Arabidopsis thaliana: one gene and its partners. The protein of the gene in region 3 interacts with the protein of the main gene of each other region in a pairwise test. Each region holds a gene or a part of one and is shown on either strand. Other genes may lie near its edges.

Region 1 (4,936 bases), on a different chromosome or scaffold from region 3:
AGAGCAAACTAAATAAGATGATCCATACATACTACTTGCCTACTTGGCCATATTGTCAACTACTTTGATGATCACAATATCATTTTGATGAGGCGTATATATATACATTTAATTAATATTGATGTCAAAAACTAAAACTGACGTTAATAATCAATGACATTATTGTGCTTAATTATTGCATTTCATACAAATTTCCCCATAATTAAGAATTTAAATCTCTCGTAATCATTCTATTTTGTTGTGTTGCAAATCGTGACCGTAATTCCAAGTGGAAGCTACTTTTGATTTACATTTAATTAATATGCAACCGTGGGATGACATATATTCTCCTTTTCTCTACTAAACAACCTATTTCATGTTTAAATATTATATTTTGTTTTGTTTGATTAATTATTTTATTGTGTTCGTATTAGGTTTGTTAATTGACCCTTTTCTATCATGCTAATATGTCACTTTCTGATTTATTATTACATTAAAGTAGGTGGTCTAATAGTAATTATTTATATGAATAGTTTTAAACTATCAAATAATGCTGTATACTATATATATTTTTCCAACTAAAAAATTATATAGTTATGATCCTTTGCGTCAAGTTTTTATTATTGCTTTGAAGAAAAAACATATTCAACTACTTGAAAATTACGTTAGCTTACCGTACGTGTGTTCAAATTTAATATGCTACAAAATTGTGTGAACAATATAATAGGTTTGTTGTATTTATTCGTTTTTCACCAATCTGGAGATATTTTGTGGTACAAGTATTATAACCACAATATATTCCATACATGAATTAGTTGTGAGAGTTATAGTCAAATTGGTTGGGATTCAAGAAGCATTATACTATTATTATAGAGTCCCACCAATTATTTTTGAACTCGTAAAATTCTCAAGATCTTAGAAATGTCTCCGTTGAAGCTTAGATTGTCTTTTACTCACCTTTATTAGTTTATTTATACGTCGTATTCTTCAATTTCAAAATACCTTTCATATATGAATTTGGGTGATATGCACACGAACACGATACGGTGAAATCAATTAGTTCCACAAGTCAAAATAGCTAGAAAAGAAGTATTGGATTTTAGAACAAAGAATAACGAGAGTCTTATTGTGTTTGTTACTAGTTTATAGAATCTAAAACAGGATTGCAAAAAACAAAAACATCAAAAACGAAGATGAGAGATGAAAAAAGAAAATCTTAGATTATAAAGAGCCCTAATTGTATTGCTAACTAATATTATATTCTTCTTTTAACGAGTTCGATTTTTCGAATAAAATCTACTTTAGTTAACTATTGAGATTCTTACAACAAAAAGGTAAAAAGAAGTGGAGCATCAACAAGCTTTATGTATTTGCATTGAACTAGCATGGGTCAACCCTTAAAAGAAACCGAGAAGCACAAAAGGTTGAATTGAACCTTGACCCATCTAACACCATAGGTTTTTAGGGTATTTATTCATTTATTGAATTCGGAAACTCGAAAAATAAAGTAGCTAGTTCATTCCAGTGATTTCAACTTTTTAAGTATATAATCCCCATGATTATGTATGTATGTGGACATGTCCACGAAAAGAGTGCCCATTTTCATATCAAGGAAGTTAGTAACTCTGACCAAAAGTAGATGTTTTAACACATCTTAGTATTTTTATATCACACTAAATTAAAGTAGTCTGTTTAATGTATTCTCTTAGAAAATAACATAATGATTTGCATGCACATAACAAATCCTATACTATTATTTTGGTAAACAAATTTGGTTTTGGAAACATCTAACTCTAAAAACCATCATTATTATTATTATTATTTTTTTTCTAATATTTTGGCATCCTACAATTTAGTTTATGATTGTGTTGATTATTATTTGGTTGTATTTGCATCTACACATTAAGTTAAACATTGATTTTAAAAATTAACATGAACAAAATGAATACTTACTGTTAAAACCTTATAACAATCAGATTTTTTTTTTAAACAAAGAATGGAAAAAAATGAATAAATTTGGGAAACGAGGAAGCTTTGGTTACCCAAAAAAGAAAGAAAGAAAAAATAAAAGTATTGAATGTGGAGATGAGAGGAAAAAAACACTTACTGTCATCTTACCCAGTTGCGTCATCATCAAACCCACAACACTCTCTTCCTCTTCCCTCTTCCTTCTGCTTATTTTACTTTTTCTCTTTAACCATTTTCCCGAGAGAGAAAAATAAAAAGAAAAGCTTTCTCTGGGTTTTTCTTGATTGGTCAATTACACATCTCCCTTTCTCTCTTCTCTCTCTCACCTTCGCTTGCTTTGCTTGCTTCATCTCTTTGGTCTCCTTCTTGCGTTTTCTATTTACTACACAGACCAAACAATAGAGAGAGACTTTAAGCTATAGAAAAAAAGAGAGAGATTCTCTCAAATATGGGTTAGTCCACAATTTTCACTAAACCTCTTCTTCTTAGGATTGTTTTTAGGGTTAGGGTTTTGAGGTGAGGAGAGCAAGTATGCGGGAGTTTCATCCTTTTTGAGTTACTCTGGATTCCTCACCCTCTAACGACGACCACCGTCGCCGCCGCCGCCGCCGTCTCGACGAATATGCTCTACCAATGTCTGACGACCAATTCCATCACCCGCCGCCTCCTTCTTCAATGAGGCACCGTTCTACGTCGGATGCGGCGGACGGCGGCTGCGGCGAGATTGTTGAGGTGCAAGGTGGTCACATTGTTCGGTCTACCGGAAGAAAAGACCGCCACAGCAAAGTCTGCACGGCTAAAGGGCCACGTGACCGGCGCGTGAGACTCTCTGCTCACACGGCGATTCAGTTTTACGATGTTCAAGACAGGCTTGGTTTCGACCGACCTAGCAAAGCCGTTGATTGGCTTATCAAAAAGGCTAAGACTTCCATTGACGAGCTCGCTGAGCTTCCTCCCTGGAATCCCGCCGATGCAATTCGCCTAGCCGCTGCTAACGCTAAACCCAGAAGAACCACCGCCAAAACCCAAATCTCTCCGTCTCCGCCACCGCCGCAACAGCAACAACAACAACAACAGCTTCAGTTCGGTGTTGGCTTCAACGGAGGAGGAGCAGAGCATCCGAGTAACAACGAGTCGAGTTTTCTCCCGCCGTCAATGGATTCAGATTCGATAGCTGACACTATAAAGTCGTTTTTTCCGGTGATTGGCTCTTCAACGGAGGCTCCTTCGAATCATAACCTTATGCACAACTATCATCATCAGCATCCGCCGGATTTGCTTTCTCGAACTAATAGCCAAAACCAAGATCTCCGTCTCTCGCTGCAATCGTTCCCGGATGGTCCACCGTCGCTTCTGCACCACCAACATCACCACCACACCTCTGCTTCCGCCTCCGAGCCTACTCTGTTCTACGGACAGAGCAATCCGTTAGGGTTTGACACATCGAGTTGGGAGCAGCAGTCGTCGGAATTCGGAAGGATTCAGAGACTAGTGGCTTGGAACAGCGGCGGTGGCGGCGGAGCAACCGATACAGGAAACGGAGGAGGGTTTCTGTTCGCTCCTCCTACTCCTTCAACGACGTCGTTTCAGCCAGTTCTTGGCCAAAGCCAACAGCTTTATTCTCAGAGGGGTCCCCTTCAGTCCAGTTACAGTCCCATGATCCGTGCTTGGTTTGATCCTCACCATCATCACCAATCCATCTCCACCGACGATCTCAACCACCACCATCACCTTCCTCCACCGGTTCACCAATCAGCAATCCCCGGAATCGGATTCGCCTCAGGTGAATTCTCTTCGGGTTTTCGCATACCAGCACGGTTTCAGGGCCAAGAAGAGGAGCAGCACGACGGTCTCACTCACAAGCCGTCCTCTGCTTCCTCTATTTCTCGCCATTGACAATCGAAACTAATCCTCTAAGTTTCAGGTTTATCTCAAGTTCTGTCCTTTTACATCAAATTCACTACTTTTGTACTTCTTTGGTCATTGAACTTTAAACCATTTTGCAGGGCTTGTCTAGCTTCCATGCACATTGAAGCTTGACTTAGATTGTCCGGAACAGGGAAGGTGTTCTCGGTTTGTGTAGTCAATGGCCTGAATCTAGAAAACGCAAGGAAATGAAGAAAGAACAACAGTTTCAGGTTCTTCTTCTTCTTCTTCCAATATCTTAACCTTGCCGATTGTAATTTTTCATATTTTCACCAGTTAGACCAACGTTCTTCTGTAGCTCAATTATGGTTAGATTCCAAGGTTTCGTCTTGTTGTGTTATGTTTGTAACTTTGTATCATCATCATCCTATTGTTACTGCTCCCTGTTCTTATTGTGTAACTCCGTGGATGTTCTAATAAAGTCTGAAACTTTCTCTTTGGGTTTTACTTTTACTGCTCTGTTCAGGCTAGATCCTTGTTATTTAAACAACATGAGATTCCTATTTCTCACGTAATCTTTTGGTCCCAAGAGATATAAGTTGGTCATTTTCCATGAACAGTAAGTTTTGAATTGTTTCTTCTTCTGGAACATCAGGGGGATTTAGCCAGTTCCCTTAAATTACAAGTGAAACTTAGCTCACTAAGAGTAAAAATATGATTATTGTTTTCTATGTCTGATGTCAATAATTGTTCTCTCTCACCTACTTTAGTGGTAGGAGGAGATCCACCAAACTTGAATGTGATGTTGTCTTTGATGAGTAAAAGAATGGGGACATGAGATAGGTAAAGAGAGCCACCCATGTTGGTCTAAATGAAGGAAGTTGATCAAAACTAGTCTATCTTCTCTATCATCATCATCTTTTGATAATAATATTGGATTTTTGCAAAGTTTAGTCAAAAACACTTGGGGTCTAAATGCATGTGTATTATAAGAATATTTAACTTTACCTTTTAATAGAAAAGCAGCAACACCTTTTCATGTGATGTAATCAAAACACACCAGATGGATGAGTTGAGATATCATAAAGTACGTTTACATCAAAAGATAGAAAAGAAGAATCTT
Region 2 (7,871 bases), on a different chromosome or scaffold from region 3:
TGAGACAAATCCGTTATCTATGGCTGCCATATTGTATATAAATTCAAGCCGAGCTACTTAGCTGTGTAATCTCTACCGAACTCATTGCATAAAGCATGACGTTATAGAAGCTTTACCTCCATAATTTGATTTGTAGGTCATTTGGTTTAGCTTCCGGAAGTAGCGCAGCATCATAGGCAACAACATTTCCATAAAATATTCTCTCCAACTCCTTCATCCACTTGGCTAGCAGCAAGTTAACCTGTAATTTCAAGAAAGATTAAGACCATCTTATTTTAAGGAATCTAAGAAACTAAGATATCTCTTCGAAACTATATTAAAGCAAAACCAAGTCTAGCACGTACCCCGGCTTTAGATACCCTGAGTTCAACATCATGATTGTAGATCTCATAGACGTATTGACCAAGGTCAACACCTTCCTGTCCATCTTCCTTCAAGCGGCGTAAAACAAGCCACATATGAAGGACAAGCAGCGAATACGTTATTTTGAATGTTTTCTCCAAGTTGAATACTGCAGCAGAGACAGAGCACCCGATATATAAACAAAGCACAAAATGTAAATACATAACTCTGTTTGCAAAAGTTGTGTTGGAAACCAAATAAAGTACCATCATATATTGCAGGTTTATCAACTTGTGCAATGATCCGCTTGTAGATCACGTTAGCCCCACGGATAGACATGCTCTGTTTGCTATAGAACATCATCATCTTTAGTATGAAACGACGAATCCCTACATAGTCTGGTTCATCAATTCTGAGAGGAGAGTCTTTAGGCAGAGCCAATGAACATGGCTTTGACCAAAACATCTTATCCAAGTTTATCTGTCAAACATAGAACAAATCCTTTTCATCAAAGAAGACACGATTGTCCAGAAGCAGTTGACTAAAAGAGCATGAATCTAAATCACAAACATACTAATGAAACTCCAACAGAAAAAAAGGGATGAATCCTAAATGAGGTACAATGGGGAGGCAGAAGTCACTTTAGTCCCGCATTCGATGAAACTAGAAACAGAGAGAATCAAATTGAGCTTAGGTTCGAATACTATAGTGAGACCTAAACATTCACAACAACTACGCATTAACAGCTACTTCTGAAAACGAGATCTTTAATCTGAGTAAACAAAATGTTACCACTTTAAGATCATACCGGAGATTTACTGGGGAAATCCTTCTGCGACGGAGGATCAGCTGCCGCCGGCGCAACAGTCGCGTACCCATATCGGGAGAAAAAGGAGAGATTTTTCATCGATCCATTAGTGGTCAAAGATCGAAGCTTTGAGGTTTGAGTGACGACTCGAGCTAATCTGGGCAACATTAGAGAGAAACCCTTGTGGTTTTACTCAACAGATGAATAAATCTGAAGGGAGAAATTTGAATGAGTAAGATCGAATTCTAAAACCCTAGGCGAAAAACCCTCTCCGACTCCTTTTCTGTGTGATTGATGATGGGGCTAGGTAGTCGTCCACGTTAGCGTCTATTTGGCCAGATATTCAATTACAGTGCTAACTTACGCCGTTATTAGGAACGGAAAACCTTGGTTATGCAAAAACAAACACATTTTACCGATATTGGTGACACGAAACTGATGGTCGATTTTAGATAGTAAGAGTTGATGATACCATAAAATATGTTTGTTTATACCATTATCATTTTAGGGGGATAAGGAACTATGACTACTTTGTCATCCATTTTTTTGGTGGATCTCTAATTTGAACTCAAGTGGCTTATATTGAATAGTTAAGAAATTATGCTTTCTCATGGCCATTGGGGAATTTAGTTTCAATTAGTGAAAAGAGTTTTAATTAGATTTTATTGTGCACCGAATTTTACTGATTTAGGACATGGTTTACGCTTATTTTCTCAAGAGCAAAAATATTTACGGTCTCCTCAACAATATCATCAATTTACACTTTTTATTACTCTTCGAAACGCTTCATCTCTCTCTTTCTCTCTCTCAAGCTGTCAAAGTCACCTCTGTATTCGCGTGAAGATAATTTCTCACAATTAGGGTTTTTTTTTTCTTCTGAGTTAACTGTTCCATCTCCATCCTAATCTTCACCTTCTCCTTGATTTCGAGATCTCTGTCAATTTGTTGAATCTGTTCTTTATCTAATTAGCTCAACTCCGAGTCTTTGCTGGATTTTGAAGGTCACCACTGTTCAAGTTTACATTTTTTTTCCTGCTAATCGCTTGATACCCGTTTCTGCTGTTGTGGGATTTATTGGGTTTTTCTTCTTTACGATTTTTGTTGCAGCTTTTGTAGCTGAAGCAAATTTGTAATCTGTGATGGTGTATGCACTGATTCTGGGTATGGTATTGTACTCTAGGATCTCGTAGCGAGAATGCCAGGCATTCCTCTTGTTAGTCGTGAAACCTCTTCGTAAGTCTCATGAACAACCTAATGCTTCTATAATGTCTCTGCAGCATTGTGTAACTTTATACTGTTTCTCTTATGTATAAGCTGAGGAATCCTAGTAATTCAAACTTATCAAATTTTTATTTTGTTGTGGGGTTGCTTACAATTTTGGTTGCGTATGATGGTGAAATCACAGTTGTTCAAGAAGCACAGAGCAGATGTGCCATGAAGACTCCCGTCTGCGTATTTCGGAAGAGGAGGAGATTGCTGCTGAAGAGAGCTTGGCTGCCTATTGCAAGCCTGTTGAACTCTACAATATCATTCAACGCCGTGCTATTAGGAATGTATGTCTTCCTTCCTACCTTTTTTAGACAGAATATGTTTAGTTATGACTTATGAGCTCAGCTGATATATCACATGTATTGGTTTACTTTTGAGTTTTGACAATGAAAATTTACATGAAAATGTAGTTTGAGTTGACTTCATTTGGTATAAGCAAGTATGTGTTGTCTTGCTATGCAGTCCATCCTAATCATTTCTCTCTCTCTGTCTCCCCTGTAGCCCTTGTTTCTTCAGCGATGTTTGCATTATAAGATTGAGGCAAAACATAAAAGGAGGTAAGCTTTTTTTTTTTCCTTCCTTTCTCTGTTCAGAATCTCCATTACTTTTGGGTAACTATTACACTATACCTTAGTAATTCATTCCGGACTTGAATGCTTTCTAAGTTTTCGGATAGTTATCAATATATATTACTGCTTTGCAGAATACAAATGACTGTATTCCTCTCGGGCGCTATAGATGCTGGGGTACAAACTCAAAAATTATTCCCTCTGTATATTTTGTTGGCAAGACTCGTTTCTCCTAAGCCTGTCGCTGAGGTATGCATTTGAACCTCAGACAGATTTGCATTGATCTTTATTATTTGTAACTTACCTATTCTTTGCTAACATTTTTCTTGAAATTCTCAAATTATAGTATTCTGCAGTATATAGGTTCAGTCGAGCATGTATCCTAACTGGTGGATTGGGGGTTGATGGAGTTAGTCAAGCCCAAGCCAACTTTCTTCTCCCTGATATGAATAGACTCGCATTGGAGGCAAAATCAGGATCACTCGCTATCTTGTTTATCAGCTTTGGTGATTAAGACTGACTGTGTACAAAATTATATAAAGACATTTATATATGTACAGTATTCAGATAAACTGATCACATAATTTTCTTCTTGTAGCTGGTGCGCAAAATTCTCAATTTGGCATTGATTCAGGCAAGATTCATTCAGGTACTTCCATTTCTTCATTGATATAACATTCTAATATTGAAAAGTTATGTATCTTTGGGCATTACCAATTTTCCATGTAATAGTATGGAAAATCTCAGTCCTATTTATTAACAAAAGAATTAGGGATTCTTTGACTCCAATTATAAGAGTTTCTGAAAGTCTTTTTTTTCATTAACTCTTACCATCGGAAGCGTTTTTTTCTGCCAGGAAATATAGGAGGACATTGTTTATGGAGCAAAATACCTCTGCAATCACTGTATGCGTCGTGGCAGAAATCACCAAACATGGACTTGGGACAGAGAGTAGACACAGTCTCTCTTGTTGAAATGCAGCCTTGCTTCATAAAGGTAAACACTATTGCCCAAGTCTTCCTCTTGTTCTATGACTTTATGCTCCCTGTATTGAAATAAGGACTGTGTATTGAACTTCTTTTGTTATTTGAAAAAGTAAATTGGAAGTAATTGCTACTGTGAATTTTATTTTTGCCATTAGTTTTCAGTCTTGATTATTTAAATGAAAATATTACTGGTATAACTTGTCCATTGCTGCAGCTAAAGTCCATGAGTGAGGAAAAGTGTGTCTCGATTCAGGTGCCCAGCAATCCACTCACCTCGGTAACTTTGCACACTTTGCTATACTTCCATACATTATTCTGAAATATCATGTAATCATATTCTTACAATTCTTACACTTCTTATTTGAAGAGCTCTCCGCAGCAAGTGCAAGTCACCATATCTGCAGAAGAAGTTGGGTCAACGGAAAAATCTCCTTATAGTTCATTTTCATATAATGACATCTCTTCCTCTTCCTTGTTGCAAATTATCAGGTAATCTTCAGTTTAGTCTGCAATTTCTTCTGCGCTCTCAGATTTCTTGCCTCATCTCATTATGATTTTTTGTAATTGTATAAAATATATTGGCCGGTCTGCTATCTCCCTTAATATATAGTTGGCAGTTTTCTTGAATTGTGACTGTCCTCCTCTTTTATGGGGATTATACAAGTCGTTACGTACAACTAAAAATGTCCATCTCGTTAAGTTGACTCTATACCACTACATTCATTGCATAGGTTGAGAACAGGAAATGTAGTTTTCAACTACAGATACTATAACAACAAATTGCAGAAGACTGAAGGTAACTAGTATTATTTTAACCTGTTTCATACCCATGTGTGTCTATATTTCATCCGTTACCCTAACCTGTTACGTATATGTTTGCTATGTGTCTTGCAGTAACTGAAGACTTTTCTTGTCCATTCTGCTTAGTAAAATGTGCCAGTTTCAAGGTGGACTTTCATTTCCATTCTCATTCATCCTCTTAGTCAAAGATACAGCTGTAGTGACTAGTCTTTGTAGTGATGCAATCTTTTCTTTTTCTCCCAATCATGTTGTAGGGCCTGAGATATCACTTGCCATCAACCCACGATCTCCTCAATTTCGAGTTTTGGGTTTGTAGCTTTAAAATTCAGTTAACCTGTTTGATCTTTTTTTTTTATTTTGTGGGTGCCACTAATCTGCTTTACTTGGTTAGGTAACTGAAGAATTTCAGGCGGTAAATGTCTCCCTCAAGACTGAGACAATGATATCCAAGGTTAGAACATCTTGTTTGTTCGATTTATGTTCATTAGTTTCTCTGCTGTATATCTTATAGGCTGTAACAAATTCATTTTTCATTTAAACTAATATCCTCCATGGGTTGTTGACTTTTGTGTGGTTAAATAAGGGAACTGGAATCTTTAGTTGCTATTTGTCACACTATGATCCTTGCTATTGTCCTTAATAGCGTGATGAGAATAAACTCAAAATGACATCGCTGTTCTGTTTACTTTTTGTGGCCATGAGACCGTCAAAGCTCGACTGTAGAATAAAGTCCTGGATTATATAGGAGTGTCAAATCTAATTGAAGTAGTTGGTTCTACAATATATTCTATGTCTTTGTAGTTTTTCCTATTTGATGATTACTCTTAGCACAGTTTTCTAAATGTTAATGTTCATTAAAAAATCTGCTCAGGTTAATGAGGATGACGTTGACCCAAAGCAGCAAACTTTCTTTTTTTCGTAAGTTATCTGGCCTATATGTTGCCTTTTATTATCTTTCCAGCATCTGTGTGAGACCATAAAAATTCTTCAATATGTGACAGTTCCAAAAAATTCAGACGGAGGAGGCAAAAGAGTCAGGTACGGAGCTCAAGGCAAGGGCCTCATCTTGGATTAGGTTGCGAGGTGCTAGATAAGACTGATGGTATGTGTTTGACTGAAATGACAGTTAATTGGATTTGTAGTATTGGCTTCTTTTGTGATGAGAGCCTGTCTTAGTTGTATATTTTACGAGTATTTTACTTTGTTATGTGCAATTTTGCATGCAACAACGTTGGATCATTTGGCACAGCTTTTTATTCTTACTTTCAGATGCTCATTCTGTTAGAAGTGAGAAGAGCCGAATACCACCTGGAAAGCATTACGAAAGAATTGGGGGTGCTGAGTCTGGTCAAAGAGTTCCTCCTGGCACGAGTCCTGCAGACGTGCAATCATGTGGGGATCCAGATTATGTGCAGTCGATAGCTGGAAGTACAATGTTGCAGTTTGCAAAAACGAGGAAAATATCTATAGAACGGTCGGACTTGAGGAAGTATGTTTGACTTCCTTTTGTCGTTCTATCCTCTTCTTCAATTTATATTTAACTACATATGGTTCATGCATGAAAAATTGTGTCCTAGTTTTATAACAAGTAGCTTGTTAATCCCAAATGATGTGAGTGAGTTTTTCAAATTTTTTCCTCCTCCAGCCGAAGCCTCCTTCAGAAGAGACAGTTCTTCCACTCTCATCGAGCTCAGGTGATCTTTTTTCTTTAGCTCTCTTGCTTTTGAAGATTGCAATTGATTTTGACTTTGCTATGTGTACTATCGCAGCCCATGGCTCTAGAACAAGTACTTTCGGACCGGGATAGTGAAGATGAAGTTGATGATGATGTGGCAGATTTTGAAGATAGAAGGGTATGTTTTTGAATTTAATATTTTCACCGCATCAGTAGTTGGGTAGAATAAAGCTCAGTAGTTGGGTAGATATATGTTTCATGTGAAAGGGAAAGGAATATTGAAGACTGGGCATGGGCAAACGTTAGGAGCAATATTGTAATGGTTCAGAGATCAATAGAAAATATGTGAGCAAGCCTCACGGTTTGATATGGAACAGTAGAACCAGATCATTAGTGCTTATATAACACTCATTAAAAGACGAAGTGTGTCCGTTTGTACTCGATTCTAACATAGTTGATTCTAACATAGTTTGTCTGATTCTCCATATAGTGAATAACGTTATTTCCTATTACTATTCTTTCAGATGCTCGATGATTTCGTTGATGTGACTAAAGATGAGAAACAGATGATGCACATGTGGAACTCGTTTGTGAGGAAGCAGCGGTATGTCTTATCTCTTTTCAGTACATGTCACGTGGAGTTTTCCAGTATAAACATTTAGAGTCGCGCATGTAAAGGTTGTGGATAATTCCTGCATGAGTTCTTCTGGTTAAAAAAAAAAAACTGAACAATTAGATAACATACGCATCCATGTTCTCTGACTCATTATAAGCATTACCTTGACAGTGGTTTTGGACCCTTTGCAGAGTATTAGCAGATGGTCACATTCCATGGGCATGCGAGGCATTCTCAAGATTGCACGGACCCATCATGGTTCGAACACCGCACTTGATTTGGTAATTCAACTCTCATTTCTTCCATTGTTTTTTCCAGTGTATCGGAGAAGAAAGCGGTTTTGTTGATAAAAGTGAGCTTTTTTTGTGTAGGTGCTGGAGAGTGTTTATGGTGAAACTGTGGAACCACGGTCTTCTTGATGCCCGAACCATGAACAACTGTAATACCTTTCTCGAACAGCTCCAAATTTGAAAACCCAAGAAATCATTAATTTAAGTAGAAAAACAAAGAAAGACAAGAGAAGAAGAGTTTTGGGTTCTCATTTAACTACTTTTGGTGTTTTAAGAGAAAGAGGAGCATATTTATGCATGAATTTGTCCTCATCTTTTTTTTTTTTTTTTTTAATTATAAATGTGTACATTGGCTTATCTTTGACGCTTGTTCTTCGAGTAATGCTTTATACATGTTCCTTACTCATTTAGGATATCATATGGTTGAAAACTTGAAATACTAATTGACTTTGTACACTGGAAACCAGACATGGATGTTACTCTGGAAACATGCATCAACATATGTCCATGAAAAA
Region 3 (5,112 bases):
TGAATTGCTAAAAGAACCATTATCCCAAGTAAAATGTATTAGAAACCTCATACTTGAATGAGGAACCCTAAAATATGTATAGAGGATTGTGATAATGTACTCACTATCAATATAGTCAGTTATAAGTTAGAATTCTGTTAAAAGTGTTAAAATAATGTTTTGTTTCAAATACTTAGTTTATCAAATAAACTTTTTTAATCTTTTTATGTCACCATGAGTTATCTGAATAAAGATGTTTATATATCCGCAAGACTAGTCAAAAGTGGATAGCTCCATTAACTGTTATAGTGTAACTATTCTAGTGTAACAATTCTTAGAAGTATTTGGTTTTACTATTTTAGTCTTACTTTCTATACTTGATTGTTCAGGTAACATTTTCAAAATTGGAGATGATTTTACTTAATCGTAAACTTATTACTTATATACTAAAAAGCTTGTAAGTAGGGCCCGAAATGTGGAAAACATTGTAATTTAAATCCAAACTAGTTTTAGAAGAAGACGCAATGTATATATAATAATGGAAAAATATGAAAACGATATCAGCCAAACATACTTATTATGAATATTAATTGGAGAGAAGGAGTGTAACCATCCATATGGTGTGAATTCTATGATTTTTGGACCCATTGTTATAAACGAAGGAAGAAGACAAAGAACATGAAGACATGAATAGTTTTATTTCAAAAGTAATGAATAAATATATAAATAAAAGGAATGGTTGTCGTTTGAAAATGGGTACGAGTAAATAGTGTTGCAGACTCTGCTCCAACAGTAATTACAACAATGCAATATGCAACCACGACCCACTTGCTTCTATTCATTTCCCATTCTTGTTCTCTCTCCAAATTGACTAATGTTTTAAATGTTATATGATCATGATAACCATTCTTTTTTCTCTTTGCACGCTTCTTCGTTAGGTTAGGTCGTACGTAAAAAGTGATGACCTAATCGTAGAGACCAACTAAATTTCGGTTCTGATTACTTAATCGAGTGTTTAAATTTGCTTAACTTGACATTTGTTACCAAGAAAGGAGAACTAGTAGTGAAAAAAGAGAGTTTAAAACCTTGACAATCGCTTAACCCAAAGTTTTAGAATATTTCTGCTAGTACATAAGGTAAATGTACACATTTATTGTAGTTGTTGTATTGGTTGAATTTGGCTCTGTTGGTTGAGGTTTCAGATTCATAAAAAAAAGTACTGTAGTTACTAGTAAAAATGAACTTGAATTATGGTTGTATTGTTGTTATACAAAAATGGCACACTTTATGAAACCAACTAAAAACAAGTATCCATTTCTGATAATAACATTTTCGAGGATTTTTAAGATATACAACAAAATGCAGAACTATATACAAAGTCTTGTGTCTTGAGAATGTAACTTCAATTATTAACACCAAAATGTCTAAAAACCTAAAGCATCTAAGAAACGGTGCCACTGTCTCTAACCCCTTTCTCAACAGTTCGATACAAAACTTCCATTAATGTTTTTCTATTCCCTTCACATTTGGAAATTCAAACTAAAAATGCATAAACAAAAAATACTATAACCTCATCTTAAAAATTACTAATGTCCCAGTAACATTAATCTCATAGGGTTACTAATCATGGGTTATCTTTTAAACTCCAAAAACAAAGTAGGTATCATTATATAAACAAGTTTCATGGTATATCTCCTAATTTTCCCGTAGAGGAAAGTATGAAGATATATATAGAGAAGAAAGACAGAGTCCGTGATCACTCACTCTCTCTCTATCTCTATATATCGACACACCATAAAAGTTGTTCTTTCTCTCCGTTTCCTTAGCCTCTGCATCTGGGCGATTTTCTCTTTCTATCTCCCTACACCTTAGGGAGTACTGATCCTAAACTCATCATCTTTCTATGCCTTCCTCTTTTCTTTCACTTATTTTCTTTTCTATTTTTTTTCTTTCTTACTTTGCGTAAAACTAGCGAGTCAAAAATAAAGACACTTGCATGATCCTAATATAATATTATATATTGTAATTAGAGAAAGAGAGAGAAGAGAAGAAAGAAAGTGGCAGTAGATTCTTATGGATTTTGGTATAAAGAAACATGAAAAAATGGGTTTGACCGAAGAAACTTTGAGGACGGTAACTTCATTATCAACTTTTCGACTGTATTTATATTTTAGCTTTTGTCAAACCGTATCATATAATATTAATGCGAATTACTAGTAGAGAGTATAATAATAGTAATAACAAAATGCTTGGTTACTGTATGTAAATCCCTAGACAAAAAGAATAAGAATAAAAAGAGCAAAATTCTTCATCCCAAGATCCATCAGGAGAGTCAGAGTCAGACCCCATCTCTCATTTCCCATCTCTCCTTTTCACATTTATTTCCTTTTTTTTCTTTCTAGATACTTTTTTATTTTGAAATTTAATACTAATAACTATACATTTATTGTTATTATTGTTGTTAGAGTCTATGCTAGGGTCCAAGGGTTCATCCCAATATCCCTTCTTCTCCTTAGAAACTCGCAACTTCTTCACATGGAAATCAATTCCCTCTAGTACCAAATCCTATTACTATTGAAGGTATACTCTATAGTTATTTATTTAGTTAAGTATATATATTAAAAATAAATAACATTAATTAGTACTAGTCTTATCATATTTATTAGCTCATTTTCTTATAAAATACTAATATAATAGGAAATTTAAGCACAAGATGAGCTTTGCCCATCGAGAGCCTCAAAACCCAAAAGTCTCTTCTTCTTCACGAGATCCAATCTTTTGCTTTTTAGTAATTAATTACATCTTCTTCCTTCTCTTCTCTCTTCTTCTTCCCTCTCTCATACCTACCTATAAGCAACACAAAGAACACCATTGATCCCATCTGTTTTGTTCCCTATATTTCGTTAATCCATCCATACGCATTCCAACTACACGGTACAAATTTCCATCTCTTTTTAATTTGTTTTTATAATGATTTTAAATCTCTCAGGTTGTCTCTAGACTCTTAGGTCTAGTTACCAAAATTTGACTAGCAATCATATAGCTACAAGTTCCTCTATATCATATAGCTACACATATCTCTAGGTCTGAAATGATCTTTTATCTCCCAAGCATATATTATATATTTGGATGCATACCTTTATGTTTGACTTTCGAAAAGCACCTTCATGTTACTCATTTTTTCCTCTATTTGCTTTCAACAGTTGACAAGAAGGTTGGATCAGTATATATAAGTATACATATACACTTATGTGTGTGTGTAGTGTATGTGCATATATAGCTCACCAAATATCTTTAATACTACTAATTGCAAAGTTTCTCTTATTTTACAGCTTTTTGTATGCAACCCCAAATAGCAGCTTAAAGAAAGCAGAGAGGATCTTCTTTTATTTCCCCTCTGAGCAACAGAAGCCATTATTCAAAGAAAGGCTTCTTTAATTTACTCGCAGGTAAAAGCTTTCTTATTCTATAGAGATTGAACAACTTTTTTTTTTTTTTAATTGACAACAATAAAGATTGAGCAACTTCTCTACATTATTTCTTTCTTTATTTTCTCACTTAATTTCATATTTGATTACAAAAACAGATAATGTAATATCTCCAAAATCACAATTGATTTCATAATATCTTTTTTTGTTTCCTTATACCTTCTACCTCCAAAAACTAAATTCAAAAACCCTTATTTCTCTCAATTTTCAATGGCGGCTTTGTGTAGGGAGAGGGAAAAGAGAAAAAATTGAAAAACTCCATTTTCAAGTCATTAAAATGGCATCTTCTTCAACAAACTCACCATGCGCCGCTTGCAAATTCCTCCGGCGAAAATGTCAACCGGAATGTGTATTCGCGCCCTATTTCCCACCGGACCAGCCACAAAAATTCGCAAACGTTCACAAAGTGTTTGGAGCAAGTAACGTGACAAAGCTCCTCAACGAGCTTCACCCTTCACAACGTGAAGACGCAGTGAACTCTTTGGCCTATGAAGCCGACATGCGCCTCCGTGACCCTGTCTACGGCTGCGTCGGCGTCATCTCTCTCCTCCAACATCAGCTTCGTCAGCTTCAGATAGATCTCAGCTGTGCTAAATCTGAGCTCTCTAAGTACCAAAGCCTCGGTATCCTCGCCGCCACTCATCAGAGTCTTGGCATCAACTTACTCGCCGGAGCAGCAGATGGAACAGCCACCGCCGTGAGAGACCACTATCACCACCACCAGTTTTTTCCTAGAGAACAAATGTTTGGTGGCTTGGATGTTCCGGCCGGTAACAACTACGACGGTGGGATTCTTGCCATTGGACAGATCACTCAGTTTCAGCAGCCGAGAGCCGCCGCTGGAGATGATGGTCGCCGTACTGTTGATCCGTCTTGAGATTTTAGGGTTTTGGTGGTGTTCATCTTCGTCGATCGCTTGGTGATGAGAAAACTATAATTTTAAGAAAATATTTGATGTGGAAAACCAAAATATTTTAAACGTATGGTACGTCTCTCTTAATGACATTAATTTCGGTTTTTATTATTATTATTACTTAGATATATTATGATAGTCACTTTTGTATTTCTTTCAAATTTTATGGACTTGCTCTCTTAATTGATATCACATACTTGCATTATAGAGTATATTATTTCCAAATATGTCGAGTCTATTGATCCGCATATGTACCTCCAGCAAGAATATAGACCTAAATTCAGTTAATCATTGAGTGATTTTAATGGTTAATGTTAGACTTCTTAAGTATTTAAAAAACATTATTAGTAAAAATTATGAATATGAAATATAGTGTATACCATGTAGATAAATGTATTATAGTGTTTTCCTTTTATTTTTTTTGTAGTTCAAATTTTAAAATTAAATAATAAAGGAAAACTATTAAAAACATTTAAAATTGACATATTTATATAAATGATATTTGCAAGAAAAGAGGTTTGATGTGGAACACTGTCAGCGTCAAGGATAAGATTTGATGTAAGAAGAGGCTTAACGGAATATAACATGAACATGAAACATCTTATCTCCGGGCGAATTATACCCACTAGCTCTTTCTAGGCTTTCTCTCTAATTAAAAAGTCTCCTTCATCTATTTATGATGACTCTATTTATTGTTGTTGTAAATACTAATTGTCACATCAACTAATTTAG
Region 4 (4,646 bases), on a different chromosome or scaffold from region 3:
AAATCATACACATCGATAATTTATTTTTTTATCCTTCAAAGCAGGCCCATCCAAGGCCCACCACTATTCTCATATCAACATACTTTTCTTGTTTTGGTTAAATCAACCTACCATGTTGGCTGTTCTCTCCGCTCCTCTGTGTAAGATCACACCAACACCACTGCATAATTTCTTGTATTATTTTGAGACTTGAGAGTAAACTGATTGACAAAAAAAAAAAAAAAAAAAAAAAATTGAGAGTAAACTAGTTTCTTGAATATTGATTTTTTCAGCTTAATTTGTTGGGGAAAGATATTACTACTATTGCTGTAAAAAAAAAAAAAAAAAAAAAAGATATTATTACTATATTTGTAGTGATTTTATTTTGAAAATTCTCTTCACTTTTTTGTAGTTAACATTCTAATTTTGTGAAAAGAACTTTTAATGTCAGGTCATGTCTCTTAAAAAGTTTGCATGATGAAATGATTTACAAATTACAATAGAAAATGGAAACCATTGCAAACTAAATTTTTATCAAAAAAAATCGAAAATAAAATGTATTGACTTAGTAATGCTGTGTCTGCTACGATTAACTATTACACATAATGCAACACTGAATTATCCAAATACATTATTAGAATAATAGTATTACAGTATCACTATTACAACAACAATGTCAACAATAATCTTATTATAATAATATATAAATAGACCTTAGTGACATCATATTATATAGAAAACATGTGGTTGCCTAATTTGTATAAGCTAGATACTTGGGGGTGATGAGTGACTAGTTGATGCAATGATAAAAGAGTGAAAGTTTTGTCTGCCTGATTATAGACGTCGGAGAAATACTAAAATACGCTATGAAGATTTTGGCGCATGGTAGCAGAAAAAAAAAACGGAGGGTGTGAGTGAGTAGTGGTAGTCGGATGTGATGGAACAAAGAAAAGTATTTTTGGTAGGGTTATGGGAGAGAGAAGGGGACCATTATTACACACTTACATGCTTTCCCCAAAAGATACCATTCCCATTTTCTGACACGTGTCCCCCTCATCCCCAATTACTCATACGTCAAATCCAATTTTTAGCCTAAAAGTTTTTTTTATTTGTTTAGCCAAATCTATTTTACTAATTAAAGTTTTCAAATGGCAAATAGAAAGATCTTCTAAGGTTTTATAAAATTACTTGATTATTTCTAGTTTTGCTCATTTTTTAAATAAAATTTCTCTTTTTTTTCTTGCAACATTATTGATTTTTTTTTTGATAGGGAGTAACATTAGTGATGTTCTATCTCTTCTCATTGCAAAAACTTTATTTTCTCATCTCTATTTGATCATCATTGCGAAATCTTCCATTTTCAACAAATACTTTTCCATGTTAATATGCTGTTTCAAAATATAAGTGTTTGGAAAATAAATCAACAAGTTTAAATGTTAACTATTTTTATGCTATTATAATTATTTTTCTTATGGGTAAGTGGAAATTAATGTTACTCAAATTGGACATAAAATTCTATTGTTTGAGTGAAGGAGTTTATAAATGGAGCATTATTTTCTTGAATGGTTAGTTTTTCTTCTATCATTTTGACAAGTAAATGACTTTTCAGCCACTAAAGTACAACACTTTTTCATTTAAATTTAAAGCATCCCCTACATTAGATTGTCATTTTATTTCTCATAATGTTATAGAAAAATGAATTTTGAGATCCCAATGTAGTAAATATATATAAAAAAAGGTTTAATATTGTCAATGACAAACAACGAACTTATGGAATTTCAACTTTTCACCTCCACGCGCCTCTGTCAGAGTTTTTTTTTTCCCCACTTGTGATGTAAAAAGGGGAAAACGTCTGTGTCTCAGTCGGTAAACTTTTTCTCTCTTTTTTTTTTTAAAGATTTTATTTTAATTATGCCGTCTCTGTGGTCTAATCGTGTACGTCGTCTGGTTTTAAAAGCCTCTCTCACTTTGGTCTTTTCGTTTTCTCTCTTCCATTTTCTCCAACTATATAAAAAAAAAAAAGTGAGAGAGAGAGCAAATCTGTGTGATGGAAGTTGCTCTTGAGTTTGGGATTATTTATCTTTTCAATATCATTTGGTAAGCATTTTTATTTTGTTTTATAGTAATAATTTTAACTCTCTTATCTTCTTAATAAGTCTTTGCTTAATAGTGTTTTGGGGTCAGCATTAATTTCCCCTGTTTGGTTTCCAGAATATAGGTTGTATAGTGTGATAATAACAAATTATTCCAAGTTTTGCTTCAAACATTGTCAAAGTTTTTGTCATTTTCATTTCTTGAAACGGAAATTTTTCAGACTTTGTAATTTCTAATTCGAAAATTCGACAGATCTTGTAGATTTGTTTCGATCTTTTAGAGTTTTGAATTGGAGAGATTTATGAAACGGGTTGATTTTGAATTTGGTACAGATGAAGAAGGATGGTGAGATGGGAAGAAGTGATGTCAGGAGGAGTAGGAGATGAAAGAGAGACAACGTTGGAGTGGTGAAGAAGATGCATTGTTACGTGCTTACGTTAGACAGTTCGGTCCGAGAGAATGGCATCTTGTGTCTGAGCGTATGAACAAACCTTTGAACCGTGACGCCAAGTCTTGTTTAGAGAGATGGAAGAATTATCTTAAGCCAGGGATCAAGAAAGGGTCTTTGACAGAGGAAGAGCAGAGGCTTGTGATCCGTCTTCAGGAGAAACACGGCAACAAGTGGAAGAAGATTGCTGCTGAGGTTCCCGGGAGGACGGCAAAGCGGTTAGGGAAGTGGTGGGAAGTGTTTAAGGAGAAGCAACAGAGAGAAGAGAAAGAGAGTAACAAGAGAGTTGAGCCTATTGACGAGAGTAAGTACGATCGGATTCTCGAGAGTTTCGCTGAGAAGCTTGTCAAAGAGCGGTCTAACGTTGTCCCTGCTGCTGCCGCTGCTGCAACGGTTGTGATGGCTAATTCGAATGGAGGGTTTTTACATTCTGAACAACAAGTTCAGCCTCCTAACCCAGTGATCCCGCCTTGGTTAGCTACTTCTAACAATGGGAACAATGTTGTTGCAAGGCCTCCCTCGGTAACTTTGACATTATCGCCTTCCACAGTGGCTGCAGCTGCGCCTCAACCGCCAATCCCGTGGCTGCAGCAGCAACAGCCTGAGAGAGCAGAGAACGGTCCAGGGGGACTTGTGTTAGGGAGTATGATGCCGTCTTGTAGTGGGAGTAGCGAGAGTGTGTTCTTGTCAGAGCTTGTGGAGTGTTGTAGAGAGTTGGAGGAAGGGCACCGAGCTTGGGCAGACCATAAGAAAGAGGCTGCATGGAGGCTAAGAAGGCTGGAGCTGCAGCTAGAGTCAGAGAAGACGTGTAGACAAAGGGAGAAGATGGAGGAGATTGAGGCAAAGATGAAAGCTCTTAGGGAAGAGCAGAAGAACGCAATGGAGAAGATCGAAGGAGAGTACAGAGAACAGCTCGTTGGTTTGAGGCGAGACGCAGAGGCCAAAGACCAGAAACTGGCTGATCAATGGACCTCTAGGCATATCAGACTCACCAAGTTTCTTGAACAACAAATGGGTTGCAGATTAGACCGCCCCTGAACCGTCTCCTAAACTCTTTGTTGTAACTTGTAATGTAATGTAAGGTTTTTTTTTTGTTTTTTTTTGTTTTTTTTTGTCTTTGATCATTTGGGTGTCTCCAATGTTTACTTAGACTTTTGGGTTCCTTACCTCAGCTTTGTATTTGTTTCTTTTACCTTTGTGTTCCATTTATCACTTCAGTTTATCCATGGCTTTGTTTTCTCAAGCTTGATGTTGATTTAGTCAGCTGCAACACTTTGGTTTATAAATAAAATCGATTTATATCTTTACATGTGTAAATTCAAGTAGAAGACAGAAAACAAATTGTTACATAATAATTGAAAAATTGAAGAGGAAGAGGTGTGTACTTATTCACTCAAAAACACAGTTGCATTAGATTTTAAACCATACTACAAACAGATTACCATAAATCCATGAAAATGTATTTGGCATGAATTTCAAAACATAAGAGAACAAAAACAAAGAGCAGAATAACGGAAGATTAAAAACCCGGCTTGAGAAATGGTCGGAAAAACCCTGGCGGTGCTTCTTCTCTGAAAAATGATCAACTTTGAACTCAGAAGCACTTCCTGTGAACAATCGATGGACCTGACTCGTCATACTCTGCCTTTGCGATCCACATCTGCACAAGGTAACACATAGTTTCAGAATTGAACCAGTTTAGTTAAGCTGAGAGTGATTAGGATTTAGTTTAGGTCTGTTTAGAGTAAACAAGTGATGGGACTGTGTGTACCTGCTGGAAGGTACTGAGGGAGGCCAAGATGGACCCTCCAATCCAGACAGAGTATTTCCTCTCTGGAGGGGCAACGACTTTGATCTTCATGCTGCTTGGAGCCAAAGCAGTGATCTCTTTGCTCATTCTGTCGGCGATTCCAGGGAACATTGTGGTTCCACCACTGAGCACAATGTTACCGTACAAGTCCTTCCTGATGTCGACATCACACTTCATTATGGAGTTATAGGTGGTTTCATGGATACCAGCATTCTCCATACCAATCATAGATGGCTGGTAAAGAACCTCAGGACAACGGAATCGCTCTGATCCAATGGTGATCACTTGCCCATCAGGTAGCTCGTAGTTCTTCTC

What was found.
Region 1: the proteins of AS2 (region 3) and TCP4 interact in a two-hybrid assay, tested with the Arabidopsis thaliana proteins (one study listed by BioGRID).
Region 2: the proteins of AS2 (region 3) and EMF2 interact in a protein complementation assay, tested with the Arabidopsis thaliana proteins (one study listed by BioGRID).
Region 4: the proteins of AS2 (region 3) and AS1 interact in a two-hybrid assay, tested with the Arabidopsis thaliana proteins (4 studies listed by BioGRID, with this or other methods).

What each region holds. Positions count from the first base shown.
Region 1 is NC_003074.8:5,059,728-5,064,663, forward strand, and holds TCP4 (TCP family transcription factor 4), read left to right. Parts: upstream 1-1,953; 5' UTR 1,954-2,580; coding exon 2,581-3,843; 3' UTR 3,844-3,871; intron 3,872-3,953; 3' UTR 3,954-4,425; downstream 4,426-4,936. UniProt on the Arabidopsis thaliana protein: Transcription factor playing a pivotal role in the control of morphogenesis of shoot organs by negatively regulating the expression of boundary-specific genes such as CUC genes, probably through the induction of miRNA (e.g. miR164).
Region 2 is NC_003076.8:20,821,808-20,829,678, forward strand, and holds EMF2 (VEFS-Box of polycomb protein), read left to right. Parts: upstream 1-1,836; 5' UTR 1,837-2,151; exon of another isoform or gene 2,152-2,257; 5' UTR 2,258-2,345; coding exon 2,346-2,383; intron 2,384-2,555; coding exon 2,556-2,703; intron 2,704-2,920; coding exon 2,921-2,976; intron 2,977-3,122; coding exon 3,123-3,237; intron 3,238-3,334; coding exon 3,335-3,494; intron 3,495-3,586; coding exon 3,587-3,637; intron 3,638-3,844; coding exon 3,845-3,984; intron 3,985-4,188; coding exon 4,189-4,251; intron 4,252-4,341; coding exon 4,342-4,463; intron 4,464-4,705; coding exon 4,706-4,770; intron 4,771-4,868; coding exon 4,869-4,921; intron 4,922-5,029; coding exon 5,030-5,083; intron 5,084-5,166; coding exon 5,167-5,226; intron 5,227-5,646; coding exon 5,647-5,693; intron 5,694-5,776; coding exon 5,777-5,877; intron 5,878-6,044; coding exon 6,045-6,264; intron 6,265-6,420; coding exon 6,421-6,469; intron 6,470-6,544; coding exon 6,545-6,628; intron 6,629-6,974; and 7 more. Other genes in the region: AT5G51220 (ubiquinol-cytochrome C chaperone family protein), read right to left, coding at 117-241, 345-511, 609-822, 1,151-1,318. UniProt on the Arabidopsis thaliana protein: Polycomb group (PcG) protein. Involved in flowering processes by repressing unknown target genes and preventing reproductive development.
Region 3 is NC_003070.9:24,396,402-24,401,513, forward strand, and holds AS2 (Lateral organ boundaries (LOB) domain family protein), read left to right. Parts: upstream 1-1,741; 5' UTR 1,742-2,112; exon of another isoform or gene 2,113-2,913; intron 2,914-2,916; exon of another isoform or gene 2,917-3,311; 5' UTR 3,312-3,428; intron 3,429-3,694; 5' UTR 3,695-3,744; coding exon 3,745-4,344; 3' UTR 4,345-4,585; downstream 4,586-5,112. UniProt on the Arabidopsis thaliana protein: Negative regulator of cell proliferation in the adaxial side of leaves. Regulates the formation of a symmetric lamina and the establishment of venation.
Region 4 is NC_003071.7:15,780,711-15,785,356, reverse strand, and holds AS1 (myb-like HTH transcriptional regulator family protein), read left to right. Parts: upstream 1-1,876; 5' UTR 1,877-2,076; intron 2,077-2,405; 5' UTR 2,406-2,455; coding exon 2,456-3,559; 3' UTR 3,560-4,115; downstream 4,116-4,646. Other genes in the region: ACT1 (actin 1), read right to left, coding at 4,116-4,181, 4,293-4,646.